5 linked regions of the Oryzias latipes genome follow. The protein of the gene in region 5 purifies or fractionates together with the protein of the main gene of each other region. This does not show direct contact. Links are inferred from orthologs where the notes say so. Each region holds a gene or a part of one and is shown on either strand. Other genes may lie near its edges. The genes, in order: vim, sqstm1, hsp90ab1, cdc37 and pink1.

The links.
Region 1: the proteins of pink1 (region 5) and vim purify together in Homo sapiens (affinity purification with mass spectrometry; 3 studies listed by BioGRID and IntAct, with this or other methods). This does not show direct contact. The link is inferred for Oryzias latipes from reciprocal best matches to the Homo sapiens genes PINK1 and VIM.
Region 2: the proteins of pink1 (region 5) and sqstm1 purify together in Homo sapiens (affinity purification with mass spectrometry; 3 studies listed by BioGRID and IntAct, with this or other methods). This does not show direct contact. The link is inferred for Oryzias latipes from reciprocal best matches to the Homo sapiens genes PINK1 and SQSTM1.
Region 3: the proteins of pink1 (region 5) and hsp90ab1 purify together in Homo sapiens (affinity purification with mass spectrometry; 4 studies listed by BioGRID and IntAct, with this or other methods). This does not show direct contact. The link is inferred for Oryzias latipes from reciprocal best matches to the Homo sapiens genes PINK1 and HSP90AB1.
Region 4: the proteins of pink1 (region 5) and cdc37 purify together in Homo sapiens (affinity purification with mass spectrometry; 6 studies listed by BioGRID and IntAct, with this or other methods). This does not show direct contact. The link is inferred for Oryzias latipes from reciprocal best matches to the Homo sapiens genes PINK1 and CDC37.

What each region holds. Positions count from the first base shown.
Region 1 is NC_019875.2:29,288,929-29,295,021, forward strand, and holds the start of vim (vimentin), read right to left. Parts: upstream 3,615-6,093; 5' UTR 3,529-3,614; coding exon 3,005-3,528; intron 2,807-3,004; coding exon 2,746-2,806; intron 367-2,745; coding exon 271-366; intron 61-270; coding exon 1-60. UniProt on the Homo sapiens protein: Vimentins are class-III intermediate filaments found in various non-epithelial cells, especially mesenchymal cells. Vimentin is attached to the nucleus, endoplasmic reticulum, and mitochondria, either laterally or terminally.
Region 2 is NC_019868.2:3,816,050-3,822,224, forward strand, and holds sqstm1 (sequestosome-1), read right to left. Parts: upstream 3,613-6,175; coding exon 3,444-3,612; intron 3,007-3,443; coding exon 2,911-3,006; intron 2,818-2,910; coding exon 2,549-2,817; intron 2,423-2,548; coding exon 2,278-2,422; intron 2,206-2,277; coding exon 2,137-2,205; intron 2,068-2,136; coding exon 1,931-2,067; intron 1,857-1,930; coding exon 1,592-1,856; intron 1,517-1,591; coding exon 1,356-1,516; 3' UTR 1,242-1,355; downstream 1-1,241. Other genes in the region: mrnip (MRN complex-interacting protein), read left to right, coding at 863-1,072. UniProt on the Homo sapiens protein: Molecular adapter required for selective macroautophagy (aggrephagy) by acting as a bridge between polyubiquitinated proteins and autophagosomes.
Region 3 is NC_019882.2:5,880,833-5,887,023, reverse strand, and holds the start of hsp90ab1 (heat shock protein HSP 90-beta), read right to left. Parts: upstream 3,680-6,191; coding exon 3,530-3,679; intron 3,449-3,529; coding exon 3,242-3,448; intron 3,139-3,241; coding exon 2,979-3,138; intron 2,891-2,978; coding exon 2,757-2,890; intron 2,676-2,756; coding exon 2,373-2,675; intron 2,303-2,372; coding exon 2,137-2,302; intron 2,057-2,136; coding exon 1,866-2,056; intron 1,677-1,865; coding exon 1,529-1,676; intron 1,450-1,528; coding exon 1,181-1,449; intron 1,094-1,180; exon of another isoform or gene 1,067-1,093; intron 817-1,066; coding exon 483-816; intron 408-482; coding exon 289-407; 3' UTR 1-288. UniProt on the Homo sapiens protein: Molecular chaperone that promotes the maturation, structural maintenance and proper regulation of specific target proteins involved for instance in cell cycle control and signal transduction. Undergoes a functional cycle linked to its ATPase activity.
Region 4 is NC_019866.2:8,382,153-8,388,239, reverse strand, and holds cdc37 (hsp90 co-chaperone Cdc37), read left to right. Parts: upstream 1-2,374; 5' UTR 2,375-2,533; intron 2,534-2,614; 5' UTR 2,615-2,615; coding exon 2,616-2,723; intron 2,724-2,913; coding exon 2,914-3,189; intron 3,190-3,346; coding exon 3,347-3,452; intron 3,453-3,538; coding exon 3,539-3,654; intron 3,655-3,794; coding exon 3,795-3,917; intron 3,918-4,165; coding exon 4,166-4,348; intron 4,349-4,430; coding exon 4,431-4,502; intron 4,503-4,601; coding exon 4,602-4,727; 3' UTR 4,728-5,494; downstream 5,495-6,087. Other genes in the region: hemicentin-1, read left to right, coding at 1-122, 222-229; cmc4 (cx9C motif-containing protein 4), read left to right, coding at 1,035-1,092, 1,172-1,314. UniProt on the Homo sapiens protein: Co-chaperone that binds to numerous kinases and promotes their interaction with the Hsp90 complex, resulting in stabilization and promotion of their activity. Inhibits HSP90AA1 ATPase activity.
Region 5 is NC_019865.2:23,687,876-23,693,825, reverse strand, and holds the start of pink1 (serine/threonine-protein kinase PINK1, mitochondrial), read right to left. Parts: upstream 3,364-5,950; 5' UTR 3,252-3,363; coding exon 2,895-3,251; intron 1,047-2,894; coding exon 765-1,046; intron 681-764; coding exon 577-680; intron 1-576. Other genes in the region: trypsin-2-like, read right to left, coding at 5,686-5,841. UniProt on the Homo sapiens protein: Serine/threonine-protein kinase which acts as a sensor of mitochondrial damage and protects against mitochondrial dysfunction during cellular stress.

The sequences.
Region 1 (6,093 bases), on a different chromosome or scaffold from region 5:
CATGTCAACCTGGACGTGCTGTTGCTGCTGCTGCACCTGACTCTGAAACTCCAGCATTTCCTGCAGCAGACATGTTCACGTCAGTCTCCAAAAAACACTAATCAAACTCCTATTCCTGCACTTTTCCAGGCATCTTCAGACCACCTGGAAATTTGATAACACCAACAACATCTATGCGGCTTCTTTTTGTGCATCCCTATGAGATTTTCAAGTGCAAGCGCAGTGTTTCTGCAGCAACCCGACGCCGCCTGGCCTCACACCGAAGCTTACCTCATCATGCAGCTTCTTCAGGAAGTTGATTTCCTCCTGAAGCGACTCAATCTTCCGCTCCAGGTCCAGTCGAGCCAGGGCAGCACTGTCCACGTCCTGCGCCATGACACTCACTCTTAATAAGGTGACTTGTGAAGGTGACATGAATTATGCATTCTGCTGACATATTCTGATGCACATGCTGTGAAGAGGACTCACAGCACCTATAAACAGTGTGTGTGTGTGGGTTGTGTTGTCACCCAAGGTCATAACATGAATCCAAAAACAGAAAAAGCAGCCGTGGGCAGGCCACACATGTCCTTGCAGGTGCTGCTAACATCATGTATTTATTGACACCTTCTGTTGGTTGTTTTTAAGATATGACACAAAAATACAAATTATTTATTCCTTCTCAACTGCTTTACCCTGGAAAATGCGAGAAAAATTGTTTTCTGGGCTTTTTCAGGTAGTTTGACACAGGTAACAAAATGATATTAAAGTCTTGCACGATGTTGGGTGTTGGATGGCCCCCAGCGACCGCCCTAGTGGCCCCCTTTCTAACTGCCCTCGCGGGCTGAAGGCCGTGTCACACAGCCACTATACGTGGTCATACGTGATAGTTGCGCCGTGTGCACAATAAAAATATTATGCATCTGGAGATTGTGCGTGAAAAGTCTGTCAGACAAACGTGGAACGGTTGTAGAAGGTCACAAATTTGCAAATGCATCTTGCAGAAATCACACACAATTGCGTGAGTCTTACGCGTATACTGTACTTTAAATATGCGTAAACTGCGTAATTTTATACCGACCAAAAATTTTGAGCAGCTCAAAACCTAAAATCATGTAAAGGCCCGTTGGCTGAAACCCTCGACGGACATCTGCGCACATCCACGAATGACGAACGCAAGAAACACTAATGAATGACGTAAATCACGCATGGATCAAAACAGACAGACATGTCATACGAGGGAAAATGTGCGATATGTAGGTAGTGGCTGTGTGACACGGCCTGCTTCCTCGCAACCAAAATTACCTTTGTACAAAGACACTAATTAAGCTAAAACTGCTAATATTTTGTTCAACATAATCAGCCGTTCAAAATCTGAAACTTACAACCGACATTTTTTTCCCAAGTAGGTTGCCAGTGTTGTTCGAAGAGCTTTGAGGTGATAGACTAAAACCACTATTAGCACTTTATTAAAGATCTTTTAATGGAAGAGTCCAGATGGCAGCCTAAAAAAAAACAGTGGCCAAATTTGACTCCTTGGGTTCTCCAGGGTTACTACGGCTGAAAATAGGTGTCTCATTATTTGTCCACATTCTGACCAGATGTGCACCTAATTTATGACAGGAAACCAGCAGATTTGTGTGAATGAATAGAAAGGAACCTGAGGTGGCCTTTGTGTGCCTGCATAGCTTTATTTTAGGAGGGACAAGGGAGCAATTCACTGGGACTTTTCTAAAATACCTTTTGTTCAGAGCATCCCAAACCACCAAGCATTCCTGTAGAGCTTCCTAATCTCTTTTTTTTATTATTAGCTGACTCCACTCTCAAACTAAAACTCTCCACGGTTCATTAGACTAGAAAATTAATTCCATTATTAAAAGTTTCCCTTTTTTTTTCTTTTAATCAGTTTCTTTTTCTCTTAACTCACATGCACTTGCAGTGGCACCGTGCAGCTTTGCAGCTTTGTCGGGGCGCTGGCAGGCTTGTAATTGACGTATCAGCAAATGAAGCAGCAGCACCCCCCTCCCACACTAATGCCACAAACAAAGTGGGCTATTCAGCAGGGTTTTCCCAGCAAGCCCCAGGCTGGGAGAGTGACTGTCTGCCTGACTGAGCAGGAGCTGCGGCCGCCGCATTGTTGTCTCAGTGCCATCCATCCTGTCGCTCACACAAATTCCACATCAAGCCATTTATTTTCTTAAACAGTCGTCAGAAAATGTTCACTTATCTTGAAACATGAGGCCTTTTTTTTTTGCATTTACATGATTCACCATGACACCCTGTGACGGCGGGACAGTCCCACTGCCACACCAAAACAAGTGAGAGTCTGATGATCCGGGAACGGGACAGCTCTGGTCACATGTCTGATCCCTCTGAGATCCACACTGTAGTCCTGCCCTTTCTCTGTGACTAGTCAGACTCAAACAATCTGCTTTCACTGCAGGCCTGACTGAGCACAACACGCCAAAACTTGGCCTCTGCAGCCAGGGCCAGGTCAGCCTGTACTCTACCGTTCCACTGGCTCAGCAGTAATCTGCTGGGGAGCACATCCGTCCCACGGCATATAAAAACCTGCTGTTAAATAGATGGAAATTAAGGTAACAGATTTAACGTTTTAAAAGGTTTGGAAGTGGAAGAACACTGCAGAACTGGAGAAATTAAGATCAGCATCCCGGTTCTCACTAAGAGTTCTGCAGCAAAAACCTTTGAAAATAAGACATTTGTGTTTTGTTGGGGTGGAAAGGATTGAGTTGGATCCAGCAGTACCTGTCTAAAGCTTTGCATGGTTGCCTCAGCCTCCTCCCTCTGGGAAATTTCATCACGCAGCCTGCAAAAGTCAGAGAAAAGACACTTTTTCAAGACTTATTGGAATTGGGAACTTTCTCTTAAACTTTTTTCATGTGTTTCCGTTTCTATTTCTGCAAACTTTATTTCTATAATATCAGTGATGTGGGGATATTTTACACGACCAGCCACACAGGCCTACAGAAAAGCGGAACCACGAGGGCCACGCCCCCTCCCCTACTTCTCTCTCAGCCTCTCGATGTCGTCCGCCAGGTTGTCCCGGTGCACCTCCACGCGCGCCTTCTCGTTGGTGAGCTGGTCCACCTGGCGCCGCAGCTCCCGCATCTCGTCCTCGTAGAGATCTCCGATGCGGGAGGTGCCTTTGCCCCGCAGCTGCTCCAGCTCCGCCAGCAGGATCTTGTTCTGCTGCTCCAAGAAGCGCACCTTCTCGATGTAGCTGGCGAAGCGGTCGTTGAGGGACTGCATCTGGGCCTTCTCGTTGGTCCGGTTCGTGAGGAACTCGCTGTTGACGGCGTCGTGCAGGGAGAAGTCCAGGCTCTCGGAGGCCAGCCGGGGCATGGCGGCGCTGCTCCGGAGCCTCTGCGTCTTCACTGCGTAAACTGGGGCAGAGGAGAGACCAAAGGAGACCCGGCTGGACCGAACCGGGCTGGAGAACTGGCGGCTGGAGTAGCTGCTTCTGGCCGAAGCTTGTTCACCCCCAAACATCTTCTTGTAGGAAGAATGGGGGGCAGATCTGTAGGACATCTTCAGCTCCGGGGGTGATGCTGCGCGCGTTTGGTGCGTCCTGAGCTGCGTCCGCGGACTGCGCCTGGATGGGCGGTTCCTGCATCTTCACCCGCTTATAGTCTCCTCCTTATGCAAATGCGGCGGTGGGTTTTGAGTGACGCGTGGTGGGTCCAGTAAAGGATCTCCTCCTCTTCGGGCTCCATTTATAAACTCTGAATGGAGCTCGTTATCCAAGGAAGAGAAGAATTTGTGATCATCAGATTCTTTCACACTCAATTTTCTTTGATTCCTGAAGAAAAGCATAATCCACAAACCAAGTGACTATTTGGAATCAGATCTTCATCCATTTCATGCTTTAACTTAGTTAAATATTTGCTTTTTTTTAATTTGTTTTTTTCCTCCTTGGAGCCTTTGGTCATTTCAAATGTGTCATGAGACTCCCCCCTCCCACCCCACCCCAACCATACTAAAAGGGTTGATCAGTGCATGAGGTGGTCTTGTGCAAATGTGTCACACGTTTTGGAAATATTTTCCAATGCGAGGACAATAAATACTCCATGTTTGCAGTGTTTCACTGTCAGTGATCTGGAGAGAAACTGGGAGACCGACTGCTCCAGGATTTGAAAATGCAGCTTTCCAGACAGACTGCCGCTTCAACCAGTTTCAAACATGACAAAAATTAGTCATGATGCTCTAATCCTTTTTTTCCTTCCTCTTGTGCTCTCTTTTCTCACTAGATTTGCTGCTTTCTCGCTGCTGAATTGCACAGATTCTGCAGGAAAACATGCAGCAAAGCTGAGTCAGTGACACTTTAAACCTCCAAAGCGAGCCTCCTTTGGTGTTGCTGGGACCTTCGGGCGTTGGTTTATCATCAAACTTTAATTTATTGACAGGCAGGTAATGGTGTGAAAGCTGCAGTGTTACTGAGTTGTGTTCAGGGATACACTGAAAACATGAGTAACCTAAAAATTGGAAAAGAACACTAAAGATCACTAGAAAGCAGTAAATGTATCTGTTCATGCAGCAAGTCATTTTAGTTTATGAGAAATCTTTTCATAAAATATCAACGTAAAGAAACAAGGAGTTCCACATTAAAAAAGGGAGAAATAAGCTCAAAAAGTTAACAGAATTACTTCAAACTGAAGGTTAAACAACCCAATAAAAAGGTTTTTTTACAAAGTTCTAAGCAAATTGTTGTATTTATTGAGTTTTAATGAACCTAATTGTACTTTTTCTTTTTTATTACAGTGACAAAACTCTAGTGTAATTAGTGGAAATGACTCATTTTAGACGTTAGTCCATTTGAATAAATCCTCATCAAATCTCAAACTAGCATTTATTCTTTGAACATAAATCTAAATTTCTGTTTCCAAAATAACGAGTGTCAGTCGAACATAGATTGAACTTTTGAGATTTTTTGAGTCTTAAATCAAGTTTTTCTTTTGTCAAGAATACGCAGCAAAAGGATTTGGATTCATTTTGGAGAATCATGTCCTAGCTCCTAATGGGACGAAACATTCTGGACTGTGCTGATTTTGAGAAAAGCTTGTAGCCTTTTCTGGCTTCGATAGCCAGAGCTTAGCTGATTTAAACAGATCCAAAGCACTTTGACCCTGCAGGACCCTCGACCCGACTGGGAAAACACTGGAGTCTGGCTCTAAACAAGCTGGTGAAATCCAAAGGAAAGCTCTCAGTGAGAGCGAGGGGCGTGCAGCGTGGAAATTCCTGTTCCTGAGCCCATTATGAGTCAGCTCTGTCAGAGTGGACAGACGCAGCGGCCCCAGGATTGTCCCACACAGAGCGGGGATTGTGTATTGCTGATCTATCAACTACAAGGACAGTATGCAGACAGCCGACGGTAACTTGTTGTTTGCAGCTGGTGACTCAGTGTGAGGCGAGAGCAGGGATCTCATTTTTGGCTAAATCTGGATTTTTGAAAATTATTTTAATTTTTCCGTTCTGGTTGTAATCTGGTGGAGCTTTTATGAAGCTTAACTGTTTGAGAACAAAGAGTTACAAGAATCTAAAAAGCAAAAGACAACATCAGTCAGACTCAGCGTGAAGTGCGACTGAGAGCAAAACAGTTTGTTTCTGGGTGTCTTCACTTGAAAACTGCCGACTGCAGAAAAAGAATCCTTTGTTTCTTCTCCCATGATGCTGAATCACCAACCCGTGCAGCCTGTAGCCATAGCAATCACTGCAAATGTTATGTTTATGACATAAAAACGATGAAGATGGCCTTGTAAAAAAACAAAAAACCCTGAATGTTTGCTGTTATTTGATCTATTGAAAAAGTGTTTGATCAAGTTATTTTGTAAATTCTTTTGTTTTATCCCACTGGGAATTAGATGCCTCTTAAATAACTGACATACCTCTAATCGAGGTCTCCTAGACATCTCAAACTGTTACGAGGGAGAAGGGAAGTACCCAGGCGCAGAGAGGAGAGGAGGCAGGAGGTTGCAGGGGAACGGGGGCTTTAATAAACAAAACTAAAGATACCAAACCGAAACCACTGCATGCGGCAGGCTAGAGACTCGAAACATGAAAATACAGAAACGCTCAAAACCAGGGACCAGCACAATT
Region 2 (6,175 bases), on a different chromosome or scaffold from region 5:
TTTGTCTTTGTTCTGAATGTTGGCAAAGAGAAAATCTGACGACCTTTTTAAACTATATTTACTTTTGTCTTTTTTAAATCTTTGTTCATATATGGCAGACAATTCTTCTTTATATATACATTTGAAAAACCTTTTATATTGTAATATTTTTTATTCACTGAATAATGGATTATATAGATGTGTGTAATTACTGCCAGTGATAATAAACGTTATTGCCTTTTTTGTAGAATACAAATTAGCCTGTTTCCCTAAATTTCAATGCAGTAGTTTAGAAATGGAAGAAACTGAGTTAAACCGTAAAAACGGTGCTTTGTTATCAAGAGCTGACTTAACTTTATGAAACGCCAAGTAATGCCCTCAATGATGACTCCCAGAAATTTCACATTCTTCACTCGGTCAGTTTTAATTCCATCCATTCAAATAAATTATATTTGGGTTTGTGTCTCTGTTGCCAAGTATCAAGAAGAAGATACGTTTGAACCTTTTGGATGTGTTAGCAATGTTATGTATATACAGACTGAAGAACTGGTCCTAGAACAGACCATTGAGCTACTCCACAAGTTCTATTCCAAAATTGTGATTTGATCTTATTTGTAGATACTGTCGTTTACATGAGTTGTTGGCCGTTGAAGAGCTTTCCCTCCAATGCTATATTTGAGTTCAAGGAAAATATTGGGGTTTGTGTCAAATACCTTTTTTAGTTCAAGGAAAGTTCATGGATTGTTGTTGAATGAGAATTTTTCTTTCAATATGAGAGATCAGGCTGCTGTTTAGCACGTGGTCACTTTGAGTGAAACAGTTCTCTCTTCAGGTTCTGGTGTTTCTGTCATCCAACTTTCACTACTGTGTTCTTTATCTGCAGCTGATTGGTCCAGCAATGAGACGTTCTGCTGATGAAGCTCACTTCCATCCCCGCGCCTTTAGCTCAGCCTGCTCTCTCAAATCTGATTCCGAAATCCAAGAGGAGGAGCCTCCAGCTTGTGGGCGGAGTCAAGCCCCCAACATGCCCCACCCAGGACTCAGTGTTTCCTCCCTGTTCGAAACTGAGGAAGACTTCAGTATTGACTTCTAGCAGCTCCTATGTGTAGTCTGGTTCAAGTGTGCTGCTGGTGGAGGTGTTGCCGTGGAAACAGGTGATATAAAATTACATTTAGTGTTTCATTTGGACTGTTTTGGTTCTCAAAAGCAGCCTGCTGTGCACTTGGCAGTACAGGTGTGTATCAAGACTCCACCCACTCGGATTCCTTCATGTTTTTATTGTTCAGAAACAGATTAATAAAAGACAGAAACAGGTTAAGGAGTTGATTAACAGTTGAACAGATAGAAACTCAGGTTAAATAAAGCAGCTGGTGCGGTCACTGTGGTGGGCGGGGCTGCTTGGCGTACTGGATGGCGTCCAGAGCCGCTCCAATGTCAAAGTTTTTGGCCTGGAGGAGTCTGGTGAGCCAGCCCCCCTCATCAGTGAAGCCCATCGACAGCATCTGAGCCAGAGACTCCACCAAGTGGGGGTCCGCCTCTGTGGGGGGCAGAGGGAGGAGCTTACAAGAGGGCAACAGTCATAGCAAATGATACTTGTGAGAACTAGACTCACCTTGAGGCAGGTGGGGGTACAGCGCAGCCTCCCGCAGACCTGTTGGCCCCTGCTGCCCTCCCGACGGGGGCCCCTGCTTCCCTCCCGACGGGGGCCCCTGCTGCCCTACCGACGGCTGCTGCCCTCCCGACGGGGGCCCCTGCTGCCCTCCCGACGGCAGCTCGCACTCGTGGTTCTTGGGGTCTAAGGATTGCAGCTCCCCCGTGGACGGGTCCACCTCTTTGGAGCTCAGGTGAGTCCACTCCTCGTCAGAGTCCCGGCTTGCCTGCGTGTACGTGGGGACGAGGGTCAGTTGTTGACACGTTCATTTCAGTCATTGATCAGTGAACACAGACTGACCTTTGACCTCTCAGCAGTTGCAGACTCCCCTTCGTTTACATCCATTGCCACATTGTCATCCCCCCCTCCAGCCTGAGTGGGTGGATTCACCTTCGACCTCTGCCCGTCATGCTCAACATCAATGTCCACGTCGATTCCTGCATGGAAATCATGACATCACTTCCTGCCTGTCCCCCAAAAACAGCAACTCCACTATGTACACTCACCCAGGGGGCTCAACATGGCGGCAACCCCCTCCCCAATGTTCTTCAGGAAGTCCACACTAGCCTGGGAAGCTGCAGAGGTCAGAGGTTAAGGTGGGAGCATGTTAATGCCCTAGGCTCAAACGTTTTTTGAGTTTCTCTCACCTGATGGTTCTCCACCGTCACCCGAAGATGCTGATGGCCTTGGCTGGTCCTGCTGTTCCTGCTGCTCTGGGTTTTGGTTTTGATTCTGGTTCTGGTTCCACATGCAGTGTCTCATTCTCTTCATCCACTTTCCACGGGGAAACCACTGCAGACACAGTTTCTGGTTCAGTCAGTGCATTTTGGCTTTGACCAAAAAGTCCTTTCTTTTAAATCAGCACGATGTCCAGACAGAAGTGGAAAGACGATTAGATGGTTAGATGGAGTAACTCACCTGCAGGGGGTGCCAGATGGGCAGCAAAGCGTGCTCAGTGTGCTTCCCTTGAGCCTGGCAGGTGGAGCAAAGGTCGTAGTCGGGACAAACGGAGCACTTGAACCGCATTCCCACAACCGGCCCTTCACAGCCGTCACAGGTGACGTTAGGGTGCAGGGCGGGGGGAGGGCCGTGATGTGGAGCATGAGGGGGGCCATGGGGTGGTGGGTGTCCAAACATGAAAGGGGGTAGGGCATGCAGTGGGAAATCACGGCGGTGCTCCTTCTTCTCTGTCAGAGTTCAGGAAGAAAAAAAAAAAAAAAACCGTGAGGGAGGACTGCTGGGAGGTCACTCTGATCTCACACAGGAGGCCGTGCATTTACCTTTGATGTAGAGGCGGAAGGTGGAGTCCTTCACGCAGCCCAGGCCCATCATCAGCTCATCATCAGAAGAAAAGGCCACCAAATCTCCATCCTCATCTGAAATATAAACCGGAATCACACCTGAAGCTCCTCCCCTCTACGTCATAAGGTCCCACCTACTCCGCCTGTGTTTGTGTGTGGGTGTGGGGGGGGGGGGGGGGTCTAAACTTCGGGCCTCCTGATCAACTGAATATTTTCAATTGCGCACAAATCAAAGGACAGAAATTTGTGGGCGTGGCTACATGCGTCACGTGACAGCAATCCCTTTAAATTAGCTGTTTCTTAAATAAGTCAGTGGGCGGATTATGTTTGTACAGATTCAAATGTCTACAGTCCTTCTATATACTCGAATGTTTCTCTAAGTTGGTCTTCCGCGTTACTGCGGCTGTTTAATAAAGTATTGACAAAAAGTTCGGTTCCAGGTTAGTGAGTATGACGGTTCCGATCAGACCCAGCGGATCCCGGCTCTGTCTGACCCGGCCCATGCGGCTCACCTTTGTAGAAGAGGTTGAAGGAGGAGTTCATCAGGTTGGAGAAGACCGCCGCGGTTTTCTTGCTGAGATATTCGAAGTTGCAGGACACGTCCTGGTCCACCGCGAAGCGGCGGATCTCCTTCACATGCTCGTCCTTCCCCAGAAGGTAAGCCTTCACCGTCACAGACATGCTGCTGCTGCTGTGGACTCCGAACCACAAAGTTCTGACACCGGGAGCAGGACCGAGACACAGACGCAAAACCGTCACTTGAACAGTCCAAGAAAAATCCCAGTTTGTGACGCAGCGATAAATTTCAGCCTCTTTTATGTTTACTTCCGCAGGTGACGTGATTCTGTTAACAGTTGCGCAGCCGCGGATTGGTCCGTGTAAAAGGAACGCCGGTTCCAGAGGTCCAATCAGAGGCCGTCTTGTGTGTCACGTGATCAGGATCCCAGCAGACAGTTCACACACATCGCGGAGTCACCGTGAGAAGGCAGACTGCGGCCATGAAAACACGGAAACGATGAATCGCCTAGAGACGTCCTCCTGTGTTTATCAAACCTGTGGCCCATCGGAATGGATCCTTCTAGAATTAGTAGGAAAGTTCTAGACTGCTTCAGTACTTTTAGTGTTTCAGACTAAACAAGGGAAAAAATTTAATCTTTTCAATTTAAAACTATGGAAGTTCATTAAAGAGAAATTAGTAACTAACCATAAAATGTCAGTTATTTTAAATAAATAATTCATTTAACATTGGAATTTTTTTCCTTAAAACAGTTAAACTTCATTAGATTTTTTCTTTTGGAGAAAAAAAACGTTATATGTTTTTGAAATTTGTAATTCATTTTTTCTCAGCTGTTCAAGGAGGAGCCTACATTTTTATGTTATTCTTGTTAATGTTATAATGTAATATTTATTCTTTAAAATTATTATTGTTTTAGAGATTACTTCCAAGTCAAAAGGAAAAAAGTTTGTCACAAGAAAATAATAATAAATAATCAGGCCTTATAACATCGAAGACAAGTGAACAATCTAAACCTAAGATACAACTTTACTTAAATAAATAAACCAAAACTACAACGCCATTGTTTATTGAAATCATCAGGGTTTTTTGTTTAAAGCCAAAGAGACCTAATGGAAGGTTAAAATAGCTGCATGAAGACTAATATATTGTATTCTAGTAAATACTCATGATTAGTTAACTGTAAGCATTTTTCATGTCTACCATTATTTGTCCTGGATCACTGAGAGGGAGTTGATGTCTAAAATTCTTCAGTTATTTTTCCTATTCAGAGGGAAAAAAAGAAAAACAATTTTCAGAAGTGTAGTAAATGGATTACATCTGTAAACTACCAGTAATGATAAATTCATAGTCAATGTTTATGAGGAAATCTCCTGATATTCTGTCCACCTTTAGGTCTTCTCTTCAAATCTTAATGATTAATTCACCAACATGGGGAATTTGCATGCTTTGTTCAGTTGTGTGTACTGTTGTGTGTTTGTGTACTCTGCCTTCATGCACGCCTTTGTGGTGATGTCACCCACCGTCCTGAGCCAATCAGCTGACAATGACTCACAGTCACATGAAGTCAGTAAAACCAGTTCAATGACCACTGAGGAAAAAACCGTGAAGTCATGGAAGGTGGTTCCCTGAGAAACCACATCAACCCTGAAGACCTGAGAGAGGCTCACCTCTGCAGGACTGCAGCCTGGAACCTTAGTGACCTGGAACCCAAAACCTTCCGTTTATCTGAAGCTCCCACAGTTTCACAGATGAAGAGTGTGACGATCAAAGAGTCTGACTTTCACCTGTTTCTTATCTTAAGAAGAGTCTGACTTCCTGTTTCTTTGTTAGGGTGGGTGTGATCTCGTCTTTGTTCTGTCTAGATCACTGTTGACATTCAATGCAGACACTTCAGAGCTTTTCTCCAAAGCTGTAACCAGTCCACCAAATCTCTGCTTGTATCAGTTCTCATCCTCAGTCTGATGCCTGTTGTTGATGATGACACACAAGGAGGTAACACTGACAGTGCTGCAGCTACACCAGACAGAACGGTCTGTTGTGATTAACTAAGATATATTGTGACATTTCATCTCAATAAAGGAGATTTCCACAGCTAATCACACAGGAAGACCCACCATCCAATCAGAGGAACACGCAGATACAAAAGCACCAATCGCAGCATTTGTTGACAATAGACAGCAGGAAGACATTAACCGTCTTTTCTGAGCTCCTCTTTTTGGTCTCCATCTCTGCACCTCCTCTCTGCTCCTCTTTTACATCTGCCCCCAGCTTCCCCTGTCTCTGCTCTTTCAATTCACTCTTATCTGTTGCTGCAAATCCTCATTTCTGCTTGATTGTTGAACTTCTGTGAAAAAGTCTGTTCAGCGAGCTGTGAATCTGTGCAAATAATGAAATCCTCTCACCTTTGTGTGAACTGAAAGTCCGTGTTACTGTCTCCGGCTGGGATACAGTTCTAATATATTCTTTAACTCTGGATAGAAAATCCCCACCAGACCTGAGCAGAGTTTTTCTCTATCTGCTCCTGTATGGTTTATTATTGGCAGTGACATTTTGGAGCTGGGATTGTGATTTCTTGCTCTTGATGAGCCGGAACAACAACCTTCTTTCTTAGTTCTGATGAAATCAGGCTTATACCAACAACAGACAATCTATTTGAATCGATTGAAATTTATTTTATCCACAAAGGTCTATTTTATCCACAAATATTTAATATTTAACAGTTTCTGT
Region 3 (6,191 bases), on a different chromosome or scaffold from region 5:
TGCACATGAAGAGAACCCCCCCCAAACATTTGGAATGGAATGCATCATTCCCCAACTTGCACATCAACCGAACAAGTAAACCACAGTGCAACAGGGGAGTTTAAAATGAGTCGTCACCATGAACATTGCAAGCAGAAACAAACCTACTTTCAAACAAGGTTTTTCAGTGTGAGGATCTCTTACCGAGAGCGTCACAACAGGAATGCCTACTTGATTTTTTAGTTACAGAATTTATAATAGATGGATTTCTGGGAAAGTGAGGCTTAAAAGTGTGAAGTTTGGGGAAGTTTAGTCGACCTCTTCCATGCGTGACGAATCGTCGTCAGCATCTCCTTCCAGGGGTGGCATCTCTTCTGGGGCAGATGTGGAGGCGGGCTCCTCTGTGGGGATGTCGTCATCGTCGATACCTGGAGACAAGACCTCCAATTATTGACATGAACCTTTTAAAACAAAGATATTTATAGTCTGGAGTGTTTTCGTACCCAAACCAAGTTTGATCATTCTGTAGATGCGGTTGGAGTGGGTCTGAGGGTCGTCCAGGGAGAAGCCAGAGGACAGCAGAGCAGTTTCGAACAGCAGGATGACGAGGTCCTTCACAGCTTTGTCGTTTTTGTCGGTCTCAGCCTTCTGCCGGAGGGTCTCCATGATGGGATGGTCGGGGTTGATCTCTAAATGCTTCTTGGCCATCATGTAACCCATGGTGGAGTTATCCCTGAGAGCCTGGGCCTTCATGATCCTCTCCATGTTTGCCGTCCAGCCGTAAGTGCTCGTCACAATGCAGCAGGGGGACGATACCAGTCTGTTGGAGACAGTCACCTGTAGAAGGCATGAAGGTAAGCATCGGTTTGAGAAAACCGACCACTGGAATGCAATACACGCATGCGGTTCAGGCCGTTTGTGTGATGCTGATTTCATCGAGTGTTAGACACAGCCTCAAAAGACAAACATTGTTAGAACTCACGTCGCTGTCAGACTTATCAGGCTCTTGCAAAACCAAACCCTTTCAACTCAAATATCAGGCAACGCTAGAAACTCTACAGGCCACTTCTACTCTGTATGAACTCACCAATATAAGTAGTTACCACTAGGAAACCTGTTTCCAAACAAAACACCACTGAAGTTAAGGAAATGATGGTGAAGAAATGAGGAGCAAAAGCACAGTTTCTTATTTGAGACCAACCTTCTCTACTTTCTTGTCCAGAATCTCTTTCATGAGCTTGCAGAGGTTCTCAAACTTGGCCTTGTCATCCTCCATCTTCTTCTTTTCCTCCTCATCCTCTGGCAGCTCCAAGCCCTCTTTGGTGACAGAAACCAGGTTCTTGCCATCAAACTCCTTCAGCTGCTGAACACAGTACTCGTCGATGGGCTCGGTCATGTACAGGACCTCGAAGCCACGCTTGCGGACGCGCTCCACGAAAGCAGAGTTGGCAACCTGGTCCTTGCTTTCACCTTCAGAGGCAAAAAACAAAAACTTAAGTCGTGCCAAAAGAATCAACAAAAGAACATATGGACTGGAAGCCAAACCTACCAGTGATGTAGTAAATGGATTTCTGGTTCTCCTTCATGCGAGAAAGGTACTCTGTGAGGGAAGTCATTTCATCTCCAGACTGGGAGCTGTGGTAGCGCAGCAGCTCAGACAGCTTCTTACGGTTCTGAGAATCCTCATGGATGCCGAGCTGTGAACATAAAAGTTGTGATCGATTTACTCAACTAAATTCTGGGTAATGCAGCAAGCGTTGCCCAATTCCAAGGCTTCACGCTAAATATGTGTCGATTTATTTTCACACCTTAAAAGTTTACAGGAAAAAAAAAATCCATCAGTTTATAGGCATCATTTAGAAAAGCTTCAGATATGTTTGAGATACCTTGATGTTCTTTGAGAAACCTTCATAGAATTTCTTGTAGTTTTCTTTGTCTTCTGCCAGCTCTCCGAACAGCTCCAGGCACTTCTTGACAATGTTTTTGCGGATTACTTTCAAGATCTTGCTCTGCTGCAGCATTTCTCTTGAAATGTTGAGGGGCAGGTCTTCAGAGTCCACCACTCCACGGATGAAGTCTGTTGTAAACAAACAAAAACGTTTTAAAGCTGCTGTGCATTTCCTTTCAGATCCGGTGGAACAGAGATTTAAAACTTACTCAGGTACTCTGGGATGAGCTCTTCACAGTTGTCCATGATGAAGACTCTCCTGACGTACAGCTTGATGTTGTTCTTCTTCTTCTTGTTCTCAAAGAGGTCAAAAGGTGCACGACGAGGAACAAAGAGCAGAGCCCTGAATTCCAGCTGACCTTCCACTGAAAAGTGCTAAAAGAGAAACACACGTCAGCACGAGGTTCCATCAGCCGATCAGAAGACACCCAAACCTCTATTTTACCTTCACAGCGAGGTGATCCTCCCAGTCGTTTGTGAGGCTCTTGTAGAACTCGCCGTACTCCTCACTCGTGATGTCATCAGGGTTTCTGGTCCAGATGGGCTTGGTCTTATTCAGCTCTTCCTGGTCAATGTACTTCTCCTTGATCTTCTTCTTCTTCTTGCCCTTGTCTTTAGCGTCTTCTTCATCATCTGAGCCCACATCCTCAATCTTTGGCTTGTCCTCACCTTCCTCCTTGGTCTCCTTCTCTTCTTTTTCCTCCTCTGCCTCATCATCACTGATCTCCTTGTCACGTTCTTTCTCCACCTATAGATAAACCACGTACAACTCCACATAAGCTTCTATTAGTGAGAAATATGTTTGTAAAAAAACAAACAAATCACTTACAAAGAGGGTGATGGGGTAGCCGATGAACTGAGAATGCTTCTTCACGATCTCTTTGACCCTCTTCTCCTCAATGTACTCCGTTTGGTCTTCTTTAAGGTGCAGGATGATCTTTGTTCCACGGCCAATGGGCTCGCCTGAGAACAGTGTTGTAGAGGTTAACAAATGTTTCACAGTCAGATTTTAGTTTGTTGCACCATAATTATAATATTTGAAGATCCATACCACTGTCGACCTTGACGGTAAAGGATCCCCCAGCAGAGGACTCCCAGGCGTACTGTTCATCGTCGTTGTGCTTGGTGATAACCACCACCCTCTCAGCGACGAGGTAGGCAGAGTAAAATCCCACACCGAACTGACCAATCATGGAGATGTCGGCTCCAGCCTGAAGAAAACGGCAAAGTTCCACAATTTGTATTCACTTCTGCTAAAAAAATATATAAATGTGTATATGTATTTTTCCCCTTTATGCCTGTTTATATTAATACCTGAAGGGCTTCCATGAAAGCCTTTGTCCCAGACTTTGCAATGGTACCCAGGTTGTTGATAAGGTCAGCCTTGGTCATGCCAATTCCAGTGTCAACAATGGTCAAGGTGCGGTCAGCCTTGTTGGGGATGATGTCGATTTTCAGATCCTTGCCGCTGTCCAGCTTGGAGGGATCAGTTAAGCTTTCATAGCGGATTTTGTCCAGAGCCTAAAAATAATTCAGCGTCAAGATATTTCACTGTATTGACACAGAGGTGATACGATGTTACGTAAACTGCTGCAGACTTACATCAGAGGCATTGGAGATCAGCTCCCTGAGGAAGATCTCTTTGTTGGAATAAAAGGTGTTGATGATCAGGGACATCAGCTGAGCAATCTCTGCCTGGAAGGCAAAGGTCTCAGCCTCCTCCTCTTGGTGCATTTCTTCAGGCATCTGCATAAGAAATAACAGGTTTGCAACAAACAGCGTCAGACTAATAATGGGATGAACCAACAGGAAACGCCAAAATAAAAGCACAACATCTTACAAATACGCAAAATACGGTAATAAACTGCCAATTATTTTACTAAGATTGTAGTTTTTAGTTTAATTTTTTTTAATGAATAATTTTAAACCATAAACTACCACAATTCAGAAACCGGTTCAGAGTCGGATCCCTGCCATCAGATTACAACATACGGGCGGAAGTGCAGCGAAACATGGCGGCGAGGCATGGACAATGGACGCTGCAAGCACGTGCCGACTAAAACCGAAAAAACCCGAAGCTTCCGTGAATATCAAGATCGAACGATTTTGGATTATCGCTCAGGAGCTTTACTGCAAAAAAATAGCCCCCAAAACTACCATCACCCCGAAAAACCACGAGCACTCCTGTGTCGGTTATGCAAGATGTACATGATGTACACACTCTGGGTGTAAGATTCTAAACTAGTAGTCCATCTAGAATCCTTCGTTGGCAAAATATACACAAAGACACGTCAATCGCTCGTTAAACTATGGTAATGTTATTCTTTAAACAGTCAGGTACAACCAACCTTCACAATAATAAATCTCCATACCTTCTGTCTGCCTACAAGATGCGGCAAAAGCCCACCACTTATTTTCGGTCACTAGTACAAGATTTAACCTAAAGCCCATTACTAATTAAGAATAGTAAACCCGCTATGTCAGAAATGCTTTTAATCGATGAATCAAGGTTAAACAAACCACGTGAATCGAAATCAAATAACAAAAAAACCCGTTAAATGACTCAACATTCGGTGTAGAATAATAATAAACCATTTAAAGTTTGGTTTCCCTCAATATGAAGTGAATTACCAAGACATACCTTGTTTCTTATGTTGGCTTTTCTTGAATAAAATGCAACAAAAGTGCTATCCCTGCCGCTCACTGACGCAGGAAAAAGAAAGGAGGATTCTGGAGCTGCACGCCGAATCTATATGCTCATGAGTTTCAGTGCAGGACAAGATCCCTCCGCGGCGCTCCTTCTCGAACTAACTGTGCTCCTCCAGAAAAATATGTAATTATTTATATCAACAGATAAAAAGTTATAGTGGAATAGCATGCACAATATTTTGATTGGCCAAGGAGGTAAAATCTAAACGTTATAAATTTATTATATTAAAAACAAAACTAAGAATAAAATCAATCGTATTTGATTTTTGCTGCCATCTAGCGGTTATTTAAGATACAGCAAAAACTACATCTACGAGCTTCCGTTTAGTAATTGTCTAAATTCTAAAAATGTGTCAAAATTTTGTTGAAAAAAAAAAGTATTTGTATAGAATCTCTATATCTGGATGTCAAAAATTAAAAGCACGCTGTATTTTTTACGGAATCAACGAACACTCTAGGTCTTTGTAATCACATGGAAGAATACCGAAGGGGAGTGCTTCGTTTCTTCTAGCACTTTCCATGAAAAACCCGCCTAAACATGACGTCACCGAGTTGTCACATGCTGACTTCGCATTCTATTGGTTGCCACAGAAATTACAACTGCCGCTCTGTACCTCATTTTGATCAATGACACCTTTATTTCTTTTTTTACTGTAAATAAATCAATATGACTGGTCAAAACTTTTTAAAAGGCTTGTTTTTTTACATTTATGAAAAATAAATATGCCAAATATTTTTTTAATAAAAACTTTTTTTAGTTATTGATTTATTTTACATATTTTAACATTGAAATCAAAATGACGGCACTTCCAATTGAACGTGGTTAAACAAAATGTAAATAAAACTATGTCAAATATCTAATTTTGTCATTGTTAATAGGCTTACGTTAAATAACACAAACATTTATGCAGAACAAATTGAAATTTCATTAGCATGTAGTAAAATTATAAAATGTAGAAAAATAGAAATTTTGGAATGATTAGTATCATTTTCCTATAAAAAAAGCTAATTTAAAATATTAACTACATGATCATTTACCATGCAAATAAATCAGATTCAGAGAGCCTTTGTAGTAAAAGACACATTTTTCACAACATAAACACTGGTGTACTGAGCAGAACTTTAGCCCCGTCCACGGGCAATGTCCCGACGCACAAAAGAAGTGCGGTTGTCCTTTGGTAAATAGTGCGCATGCGTGAGTGTTGATAACGCTCTCAGCTAGCTCGTGGGCTAGTTTAGTGCCATTAGAGACGTAAACGATTTTTCCCTTCAAAGATATTACCAATTTTACTGTTGGTTTTTACTAATTTTCACACGACCTAATTAAGGGTAAGAACATTGTAATGTATTAAATTTAGTCTATACTAATTATTTCAAAAAACAAAGTTAGCTTTGTTTGTTAGGTCACGTCAGCTATTGCAAACGTTAGCCTAACTGACTCTGTTTAGTGTCACCGGCTAGTGTAGCGTGTTCAATGTTAGCTTTAGCACGCCAAGCTGCTTGTTTTTGGTAACCGCGTTTTTATCTAAATTATTGACATATGAAAGTTTAAACA
Region 4 (6,087 bases), on a different chromosome or scaffold from region 5:
GAAGATGATGGATGAAGCTGTTGTTACTTCTTCTTCACTTCTCCCAGGGACCTACACCTGCACAGCCTCCAATCTACTGGATCAGAAAAGCAAGCAGTTCCTTGTCAAAGCAAAAACCAAAGGTAAAAAGACATTTATTATTTGAAATTTTGAAATGAGTCACACATTTTCACACAAAGTTCTGATGTCCACTTTTTTTTTTGTTTTTTTTTTTTGCTCAGGTATCTAAGACAAGCTACCTTGCTTCAGGGTCAGAAGACTACATCCGGCATGCAGAGAGCATTGCTCTTAGCAGATTTTACTGTTGTTTTCAACACGGAAATGATGCAACATTTATGATTCGGTGGATATTTATGTAAAGTTAGATTTCACAGACAAGACCACATTAAAAAAAGGTCTTTGGAAATTTCATTTTTTAATGTGTTAGATACATTTTTTAGAATTGTAATTATCTTTTGTTTGTTTGTGTCCAACTGTATGTGATTTTCTTGATCTGGTTTATGTCTTGACTATATGTTTTCTTGACTAACAAAATATAATCATTGCAAATAAAAAAAGACTCAATGACAATATTTCAGTGGTTGCCATTGTACATATGAACTGTTTGTTAATTTTCTTATCTTTATCAATAAAAGCAAAACATCAAAAAAGTATGGACATTTTATTTGCACTTCTGCGTTTTTTTCAAAATAAAGTATAAAGTTCAAATATCTGGTATGACCAGATTGATTTTTAAAAATTGTTAAAATACCAACAAAAGCCTAAATGCATGTATTTCATTGCCCACACGATGTCGCTGTTGAGCAGATGTCTAAATGTAATTGGCTAACAGCATGACACGTGATCAAAACAATCCCTTGAAAACGGAAGTGGTTGGGTTCCCAGCAGTAGTAGGTCGATCTGCGTATCAAATATTACTGGTATGTCTAACTTTAAAACCATGCCCCCAATCTTTATCCAATAAGTAAAGTTTAAGATTCTGCCCATGTTTTATTCATATCATTGTTTTCATTCTCACATGTTTTCCTTTAGATATGCCACAGAAAGATCCGTGTCAAAAGCAAGCATGTGCCATTCAAACGTGTTTACAAGGTACACATTGACGTTGTTGTTGTGCTCTTCTAATGCAAATCTCAAACAAATTTGTGAACTTTTTGTTCTCATCTCACAGCTAACAAGTATGTGGAAAGTAAATGCGAGGATGTGATCCGAGAGATGCAGCGGTGCTGTGCAGCGCAAACTGGAAACTCCGTCTGCTGCTCAGGTTTCAAAGACTCCAAACTGACAAACTTCAAACCGAGCAAAAATAGCTGACACCACCTGCTGATGACTTGCATTCAATGGAAATAAAAAGTATATAAAATTGTCTAGTTCATCTTCTTTTCTCTGTTAGATTGAACATTTTCTAGCTATTTTATTCAAACGTGTTGTCACAGGTTATGATCGCAACACCGGCGATGAAGAAAAAAGGAAAACATTCACAAACTGATCTTGTTTTCCTTTCTTAGAACTTGAACTTTTCCTTCTTGGGAACGGACAAACTAAATTATCATCTATCAGTCTGGAGCACACATCTATATCTGAAACATAACTATATAAAAATCATATCTGGCCATTTATATCAAGAACGAAAAATAGCAGTAAGCAAATGAATATCATACTCTTAGTTTACCATATTACGTAGGTACATTTTCTAAATCTTATATGTAAAAATAATAATCTTCTAATATGTGTTCAGATCAGCATTCTAATTTATTCTTAATTCGCCTTGAAAAATGTAATCATTCGGGTCATGGTGCTTTTCTTTCTTTTTTATATTTAAATATAATTTCCCTTTTCTTTAATTTTTATTGAACAATTGCAACATACAGAACAAAGAAATGCAACAATTATGCACAGATAATGTACATTACAATTCTGAATACAGAATAAACGTGTTACATGCTTAAGAAGATTCTAATTATTTCTAACAATCACAAAAGGGAATAAAAAATTAAAATAAATAAAGAAAATAGAACTAAACATAGAAAAAAAATGATAAAATAAAAAGAGAAAATGCGAGAGTAAACTTGTGTTATTATTCCAAAAGATTTACAAATGTTAATTGTTTTTTGAGCTTTTGTGTTTTTTGAAGCTGAAATTAAGTTTAAATATTGCTGCAGTTCCAGTTTTAACACAAATAAATCAGTTTTTTATAGGAGAATTTGCTTTTATGAATATCAAATTTAGCCATAAATAACAACATGTTTATACAAAAGAAAGCATCACAGTCTTTCAGATTAAAACTATGAAAACCAAATATTTTCCGTTTTTGGTCATTGTTTCCGGTGTCTAAATTACGACGTACAATGTACGCGCCTTACGTATGACGTAAACGGAAGCTTTGGGGAGAATTTCTTCTAGAACTCTGTAGCAGCTTCCCGTTAGCTCTTGCTTGGGAGTAACAAATCAATTCGCACGACCAAATTTGGAGTACAGAAACACAGAGCACCAACACACATTTCTGAAGGGTTCGAGTGTGAATATTTCTTAGGTCGGTATTTTAGCGAGCGTGATTTAGACGCCAACTTAACCGAGTTCTAGTCGAAGCTAGCGCTGCTTCTTCTTGCTGCAGGATGTCCAGGATAGATTACAGCGTGTGGGATCACATTGAGGTATCGGATGATGAAGATGATACCCACCCAAATATTGACACTCCCAGTCTCTTCAGATGGAGACACCAGGTAAATATAAAAGCTTTTCGGAAAAGTGCTTAGCGTGATCGTTAGCTTTCACTTTCTGCTTGTAATTCTTCAGCCATGCTAATTTTCCTACTTACTTCGGATTCCTGAATTTGAACTCAAACTGGACAAGAGCTGATGAGTATTTGAAATTGTTTACACATGATGTTCACGCGTGTGATCTGTTCCTTAGGCGCGCGTGGAGCGAATGGAAGAATTCCAGAAGAAAGGCGAAGACCTAAAAAAAGGACTCGCCGAATGTCGGCGTAAACTCACGGAGTTACAGACAAAGATCCAGGACCTGAACCTTTCCGATGGTGTCAAAACAGAGCTCACCAAATACCAAGCCGATGAGAAGAAGCTGAAAAAAGAGGAGCGGGACTGGGAGAAAAAGCTGGATGAGTACTACAGGGAGGAGAAGAAGATGCCGTGGAACGTGGACACACTCAGCAAGGAAGGGTTCAGCAAGGTGACTTCTATATGCAGATAGAAACCTGTGGTTTTCTAGCAAGAGGTTGGAAAATCCAATGAAGCTCACATTAGTCCGTTGACATTTTATAAACAAAGTAGTTATTTCAAATCAATGCTAGATGGTGTCAAATCTTGATCTTTGTTCTCGCTTATAGAGCATAGTGAACATAAAACCTGAAACTTCGGAAGATACGGAAGAAGAAAAGGAGAAAAAACACAAAACATTTGTTGAAAAACACGAGAAGCAGATTAAACATTTCGGTAAGCCTGAGTAACTTCCATAAGGTCATTCTGTTGTCTTTTCCCTTCTTTAAAAACAATTTAAGTCTATTTTTATTAACTTACAGGGATGTTGCGACGATGGGACGACAGCCAAAAGTATCTCTCTGACAATCCTCATCTTGTATGTGAAGAAACCGCTAACTATCTCGTCATCATGTGCATTGATCTGGAAGTTGAGGAGGTAAACACATATACTTATATTTTTATTTTATATTCTTGTATCTTTGTTTTTTAGCATATCTTCTCCTCAAAGTGTGTGCTCCTGTTTGCAGCTGTTTAGGTTTTTCATTTCTTAGTAAAGCTTTGCTTTCCTATTTGCAGAAACACGCACTGATGGAGCAGGTGGCCCATCAGACCATTGTCATGCAGTTCATTCTTGAGTTGGCAAAAAGCCTCAAAGTGGATCCCCGCGGTTGCTTCCGTCAGTTTTTTGCAAAGATTAAAGTAAGCAAGTTTATTTAATTTTATTGTGTTTAATTGCTCTGAACTTATTCATTTTAAAGAAGATGTTTGGGCAGGAAAAGAAAGGGTGCTTTCATAAACAAGCAGTACAAAAATCAAAGGCAGTCTGTCTGTTATTCCTGGACTAAAACAGATTATTTTAAAAGTCCTTTTTTTTTTACCAGAAGTTTCTGTAAAATTTTATACTTCTGGTTTGGAATGTTCACATTTGTTCATTTGTTTTCTTACAGACCGCAGATCAGCAATACCAAGATGCTTTTAACGACGAGCTTGAGGCGTTTAAAGAACGGGTGAGAGGAAGAGCAAAGATTCGCATAGAAAAGGCCCTGAAAGAATACGAGGAAGAGGAGCGGCAGAAGCGGTTGGGGCCTGGAGGCCTGGATCCAGTTGAAGTGTATGAGTCGCTGCCTGCTGTAAGTGCATTCTAACAAGCAGGGTTTCATTTTTTGTCTCTATTGAGTTTGAAATGCTCACATAGTTTGCCTTCAACCACAGGAAATGCAGAAATGCTTTGATGAGAAGGACATCCAAATGTTACAAGAAGTCATCAGTAAAATGGATCCAACTGTAAGCTATACAGTTTTGTCTGGTTGAATCTTTTTGGATTTAGGTGCTTTTTTTTTTTTTAAGAAATCCCTGTTAACATGTGACTGTCGTGTCTTTTAGGAGGCAAAACATCATATGAAGCGTTGCATTGACTCAGGTCTGTGGGTCCCCAACTCTGGGGAAGGAAAGGAGGAAGAAGGGACCTATGAAGAGGTGAAACGGGAGCCGGAAGAAACAAAGGAGTGATCACAATGGATTTGTTGTTTGCAATTGTATTCACTTACTGTACCCCAGTCTCATTTAATGTAAAACAGCTTGCCAATAAACACCATCATTTCTTTAAACTTTTTGAGTACAAATTTGAATTATAAATGTGTAATAAGTCACATATTTGAAACAACAAAAACAAACTGTGTTTCTGCATCGCCTGAGCTGAATGTTTTTCCTTCATTTGTTATGCTTTGTTGGTATTGGTGCATAGTTGCAAGCTTAAGTCTAACATTGTCACATTTTTTTGCAACAGATATTTTATGTGACATTTGTACAACATTCACCGTTAAGTTCCAATGTTTTGATTTTTTTTTTTTCTTTCCTCCGGGTCTTTTACATTATTCAGGACAACAAAAACATTGACTTGTGCTCAAATAATCATTCAAACTGCTTGATTGATGAGCTTTATAGAACAGCTGGTAAATGAGGTTTCTAAGAAAAATAGTAAGGGTTACTGCTGTCAACTCCAGGCCAACGACAGTTGATCATGTTCGGTTCTGTTTATCCTAAATGAACCCAAAGATTTAGCTTTGGCTTCTTACTCAGTGGTAATCTAAAGATGGAAAAGACCAACTAGTCGCCTTTGTGAGATGATGTAAACTTACTGTGCTTATTCTTCCAAGGCAGGAGTACTTTGACATTTGCATGTCATGGCTTACATTTTTAAGTGAAGAACTGAGGGAAAACTGCTTTCAATACTGCAATTTTTCTCATAGAAAAATAAAAAAAAAAACTTGAAAACTGAACCATTGTAGTTTTTTAATGTAAGGATAGAACTATGAATATTTGAAAATGTGTGCCTGAAAGAATGAATAATCTAAATATGTTAAAAATGAATGATGACTGTTTTTTCTGGTCCCATGCTGCAAGAATATAGCTTCTGTCCCAGGAGCCTTTCACTTTATAACAATGCATAGTTATGGTATTAGATTATAAATAGACAACCAAAAGAACATATTTTTTCCTTTGTAGGTGTCTTTAGCTTCTTTTTATTATTTTCTGGTATCACATGAGATGTTGAAAATCGAATTATCTGTACTAGAGCCAGTGGAAAAGGGGAATTGTGTGTTTTTTCAAAAAGAAAAACCATATCTTCCTCAAAAATGCAGTTCAATCATGATTATTGTCAAGAAGAATATTCTTTTTCATATTTGACATTAAATATTGACAGACATTGCTCACATTTTAAAAGTAACGCTACAAAATAAAAGCACTTTCTTATTTGACAGGATGATGATGCAAAAATGAGTCATTTTAGAAACCACATTCATACTAAACATTGAGTCAGATTTGATCCAAACATGGTGCCAGGGTTAAACCACATTTACCATTTACA
Region 5 (5,950 bases):
GTCCACTTAGCTTGAAAGCGCCTTTTCTCCTCGCCAACACGTTTTTCCTCAAAGGAACCTACTCTGGCTCTCTTTTATCGAGGGCCACAAAAAAATCTTCCCGCGGGCCACCATTGGCCCCCGGGTCGCACTTTGAGAACCTCTGGACTAGATAATTCTTCTACATGCTCTTAAAATTCTAGAATGATTTTTGTGTTGCGATGGGATTTTGCTTGTTCTTTTACGGTATATATTCAAATCCCTTGTTCTCCACAAGGCAGTATGGCCTCATATCTGCCACTATACACTCTGATGGATTTTGTCATCTTTTTAAATTGCTGTGATGCAACCCTTTACGTTCATAATACGTTACATATCTATGCAAAGCCGCTAAGAAAAGCCGCTTATCTCCACGTCAGAATCAGCTGATACAAGTTGGTCACGTAAATGGTGGAAGAGTTACGGTACCTCAAGTGTGTTATTCAAGTGTCATGCTAACCGATCATCCTCCTCCCGAATAAAACACACCCAACTGTGGCTAGTGATCAGGTTCAGTAATGATTCGTTGCAGCCCTTTGACTTCGTTAACATATTTACCCGTCTAAAGTAAGTTGCTGTTTTGCTGGCGCCAGAGCGAGGGGGTCTGTGGGAACCAGCTCATGGGACATCGATCTAAAGATCGCCTCGTTTGATGACCCTGCCTGCAAACACATAGAATCACAACACCGGTCAGAAAGCGACCTTTCTTCCCCTCCCCACATACATGGGTGCTGGCCATGACCCACCCCAAAGTTCCACAGCATCTTGATTGCCAGCGGGAAGTTCCTTAGAGAGCAGCAACTCAGAGATGGCATGACGCGATTTCCTTCCTCGCCCTCACTGTCTCGTATCTGCACCGCGGCGGGCTCACCATCGCTTTTCTTGGAGCAGAAAAACTGAGGTGCAGCTTCATACACAGCTGCGTTGGATCCTTTCCCAATCTGGTTTCCTACAATGTAATCCTCCAGTTTGTATCCATAGGCCAAGGGCTTGAGCGGGCTCTGGAACTTCTTCTTTCTGAACACCGCCTGCAGTTCAGGAGAAATTAGATTCAGGTTTCATTAAAGCAGAGTTCAAAGTCTTTACTTTGGTATGTAAATGAAGTGTCCTTTTGAAATCTACAATTATACACTTAACTTTTAACACTAAAACAGCCTTGTAGAAGCCGATGCTCTGAGATTTAAGAAGCTTGACAAACTACCAGCGTGGTATCATTGATTAAAATTGTCTCATGAATTCATACAAACCTAATAGCATCAAACCAGTTATTTTTGCTAAAACTACTGCTAATGGGTTTACATTTACTCTACTTTCCTTCAGGCTAACTTCCTTGTTTTTGTTTTGTTACTTTCATATTATTGACCTCTTTTTGATGGACATGGATATTTTTTCACATAATCAGTGTGATGGCATGCATGTCACCCCTTTTTGGGCTAATTTCCACCCCTTCTGGGTCTCAAGCGGGCTGCAGGTGCATCATTTACAGCAGAGGGGGGGGTGGGGGGGTGGGGTGTCAGACTCCAGGCCTCGAGGGCCGGCCTCCTGCTGGTTTCCCAAAAATCCTGCCTTATCTGCTGCTGCTGCTGATGACTTGTGGATCAGGTGTGTTTAGCCAATAAGGAGCTTCAATGGCAGGTTGCTTGAAAAACATGTTGGACCCTCACGGCCTGGATTCTGACACCGCTGATTTACACAATCAGTTGTTGTTGCTTGGCAACAACAAAATGCTGCTAGAGAAGCGACCAGAGGGCAGGAGAGGCTAAGGAGACTGAGGTCCTTCAGAAATTGCAGGACTCTTGTAGAGATTTCATGATGGCACTGACAGGAACAGTGTGAAGATCCAGCTCCATTCTGGACATTCCTCTTCATCATCAGGATTTACTGCAATCGGTGCACTGAGGAGCTCCTTCAGTCAGAGACTTGAACACTTAGCTACAGGAATGAGAGCTTTTGCAGATCGTTCCTCCTGTCAGATATTAGACTCTAACACCTGACACTGGTCAATAGTTATTGTTATTCATTTTTCTAGTGTTTTATTTTTTTTTTGTTATTTATTTGCCGTTGTCAAAAGAGGTTGTAACAAGTGATTGATAAAGTTATATTCTATTCTAAAGTTTAAGTTTGTGTTGTTGTCAGTTGCAGCATAACTTAGTTTGTCACTTCCAGGGATGAGCTTGTACTGTCGGTTCATTTCACATTGACATGTATCAGGAGCAGACGAAACAATGCCGTTTGAAAAAATATCGTATTTGTGATGTAAAAAACATGCTGGGCAGGTCACAAGCTGCCTGCTCTGCTCCATTCCAAAGCAACAACTTGCAGACAAAGATCCGTGTTCGTTTACCTCTGGATAGCTCCAATATTGCTCACCATTTCTGCTAGGGATGAGGGTGTGGGGGCTGTAAGCTAGCGGGAGAGCATGTAAACAGAGAGCTCTCTGCAATTGGGAGAGGAAAGGGGGCGGGGTTGCTCCGTGGCAACAGTCCCGCCCACAACTCAGGGGTGAATTTCTAATAAACTACTGCAGACACTACGTCCAAGAAAACAAACGTTTTTTAAATGGAATAATCCTAATGAAAAGACCACTGGAAACGCTTTTAAAATAGATAAAAAATGATTAATTAATACATATTTTACTATAATAAATACTAACCTCATTGGACCCAATAAATGAAAGAATTAAACTTGTCAATTTATTTTATTTGAACAACAGATTTACACAGCTATGTTCTAAATTTTGTTTTTTCTATAAAATTACAGTAAAATCGATGATTTTTTTAAGTAAGTTTTAACATAAAACAGTCGCTATAAAAAACGCAAATATAAAATGTCAGATCTACTGAGGCTCAGACTGAAATGACAGCAGGAATTCATACCTTTATCTCATTGCACGTTGCCAAACTCAGCCTGTCGTCCTCAATCTGCTTCTCGATTAATCCCACACCGAGGCCAAACGCCAGAAAGACGGCTCTGTTCCGCGGTGAACCTCCGGCAAACCTCCTAACGAAGCCAGCCCACTGGAGCTGAGCTGCCAGACCCCTCAGTGAGGTGCGGTAATACCGGTATCGGAGAGGCAGGAAAGCCTGAGGCTGAGCGGTCCGGAAGGCCGGGCCCGCACGAACTCGGTCAGCTCGGAGCTTCGCTGCGACCCGACTACCTGCTTTCAGGACCCCCAGCTGAAAAATCGACCGGCCCAACTCCAGCCCTCGGCTAATAGCGTGTTTAACAGACATTGTGAGCCCAGAAGGGTTTTTAGAAACGTTTTAAAGCCCCGGGAATGCAGGTCAGCCTCAAACAGCTGCCGCGAGGAGCAAAGTTAAACAAAACAAATGCTACTGAGCATGCGCAAAGGACCTATGGTCATTGGTTTAGATAAAATACATTCATGGCCCCCTTCAACGAGTGGGAACCACAATACTGTATATTTCAGGCCTCAGCACCTTAGCGCATTTATTTTGTGTTGTGCAGTTAAAATTATCGTCTATATTTTTAATTAACGGTAATTGTTGTAACAAACTGAGTTAGAGCTGTTTGGATCCCAGCATCATTGTTTTTTTTTTCTAGTTACGGATATACTTTGAATGCATCATATTCATCCCCTTGACCCATCCTGAGAAACAGGCAGGATTGGCAGAATGATTTTAAAGGGGCGGGGAAAATACCAGTGCATTTTAAGGAAAGTTAATTATTTTCTTTGGATATTAATTTTAATTTTCTTCTTTTGTCTTTATAATGATAAGTAGTTTATTTGTGACATAAAAACTGTATTATTGAAGCAGGACCATAGACGCAGGGTAGGACTTGGAGGTTCCTGCTGAGCTTTGGTCAGAATTTGCACTGGAAGGTTAAAGGAATGATGTGACAGAAATAAAAGTTATTTTTAACACAGTATATGATGACAAATGCATAAATACATCTAAATCAGCTAACAACATTAGCTTGATTAACACATTTTTTTTATTTGTAATTATTCTTTCCCTCAATGTTAGAACTTTGTTTTCTCTGGGGGTTTCCAGACTATGTCCCTAAGTCTCTAAGATATGGAAGTTTTGTTTCACCTATAACTCAAAGTAATATTCAATTCTGAATTGACCATATCCCTGTTTAGTCCCAGTTTAAAATGCATTTTGCGATTTAGAATTCATAATGATAAAATAATAAAAAAGCATAATTAATTAAAAGTTGCAAAATGCATTTTATTTGAATTGTAGTATCAAAAAACCGTGACAGTTAATTTTAATTATTGTTCATTTTGAATTCTAAATCACAAAATGCATTGAAATGCCAATTGCAAAATGTGTGATCAAATGGAAAATTGAATTGCCTATTGAGAATTGCATGTCACTTTGAATTATGAGTGAAAAAACTTTTACAGGTACAGTTGCAGGTACCATATCAAGGTCATATTAATTTTTGTGTTAATGGAAATGCACACATAGGTTATTAAAAATCAAAATCAGTCCTATTACTCCTTCTATTGTTATTTTCACCATGAAATTGTTACGTCTGTGCTTATTCAAAATCCCTACAATAACATCAATTCTTACATTTATGACCATGATCCTTGTTATAAATATGAACAATACTAACATCACTGTTCCTTAATTCATTCATATATTTAAATTAAATTATTAATCGATATTATGCTTCTGCAATTTGGCTTTGGTTTGTTTTTCCTTTTTTCTTTTAAGGAGATTTTTTGATGCTTGGGTTTTGTTTTTCAGTATCTCATGGCCAAACAAGCCTCTGTGCATTTTCAGTGTATATTATGGGTAAAAAATCTTGCCCTCAAAGATTACAGAGAAAAAAGAATGTTCTTGAGCCTTGCTGACTAGCGACTGGTCCAGGATGCACCACGCCTTTGTTCAACATGAGTCGGAACGTTCCAGCAACCCCAAAAGGGATTCAGCAGTTTAAGAATATAGATGACGGAAAGAAATTTCCTGGACCAAAAAAAAAGATATTCATCACATAAAGCAATCTCATTAACGTTTAATTATTTATGCAACCTATCTAACAAAGGTTTTGGAAGCAGATATTTGATTTTTTATAACACTTACAGGTCAGAAATGTCTGGCATCTTTAAATATTTCCTAAAGGAGCAGTCTAAAATGTGTTTTATGGTGAGTAATTTTGGTTATGAATTATTATAGGTTCAGGTAGTCACCAACCATGCTGGGTCTTCTGTATTTCCTAAAACATATTTCAGAGGCAGAGATCTTCTTTAATTTTTTATTATTTTTTATGATGAGGAATAAAATAAAATGCTTGAAGAAAATGGAAACACTTTGAAAAATAAAACAAACAGCTCATCTTTGTTGTCATCAGATGCTTTATTCTGGATTGTCTTTTAGATGTAATAGCACTAGAAAGGTTTAAATGTCAATTCTTTGTCCCAATGTGTTTCTGTGCAAAGTTGCAAAATCAAGAGCTTCTGTGTGGCAAATTGTATCTGTGATTTGAGTCAAATGAGTCATTTTAAAAGTTTCCACTAACTGACTAACCTTTGACCTCTACAGATACTTCTCAATGTCATGTATTGACGAGGGACAATATATTGTGGAAAAAAACTGACCCCAAATCCCCTTTTGACATAACTTTGATCAACAGGTTACCTTTACATCAAACAATAGAAGCAATATTGAGAACAAGCTTTTCAGTGACGGCTCATGGAGAGTCATTGTTAATAATCCAGTTGATCCATTTGACGTACTGCCTCACTTTGGTGTAGACGCCGGGGTAGTATGGGTTAGCGCAGCTGATGCCCCAGGACACAATACCCTCAAAGTAATCATTGCAGACAAGCGGACCCCCGGAGTCGCCCTGTGAGGACACAAGAAGTAGTGTTTACTTTTAGCCAATGTCAGACTGTTATAGTCAGCTGTAAACGTTTTCTTCATATTTGCAGTGTCAGCTATTCAATAGTACAAAT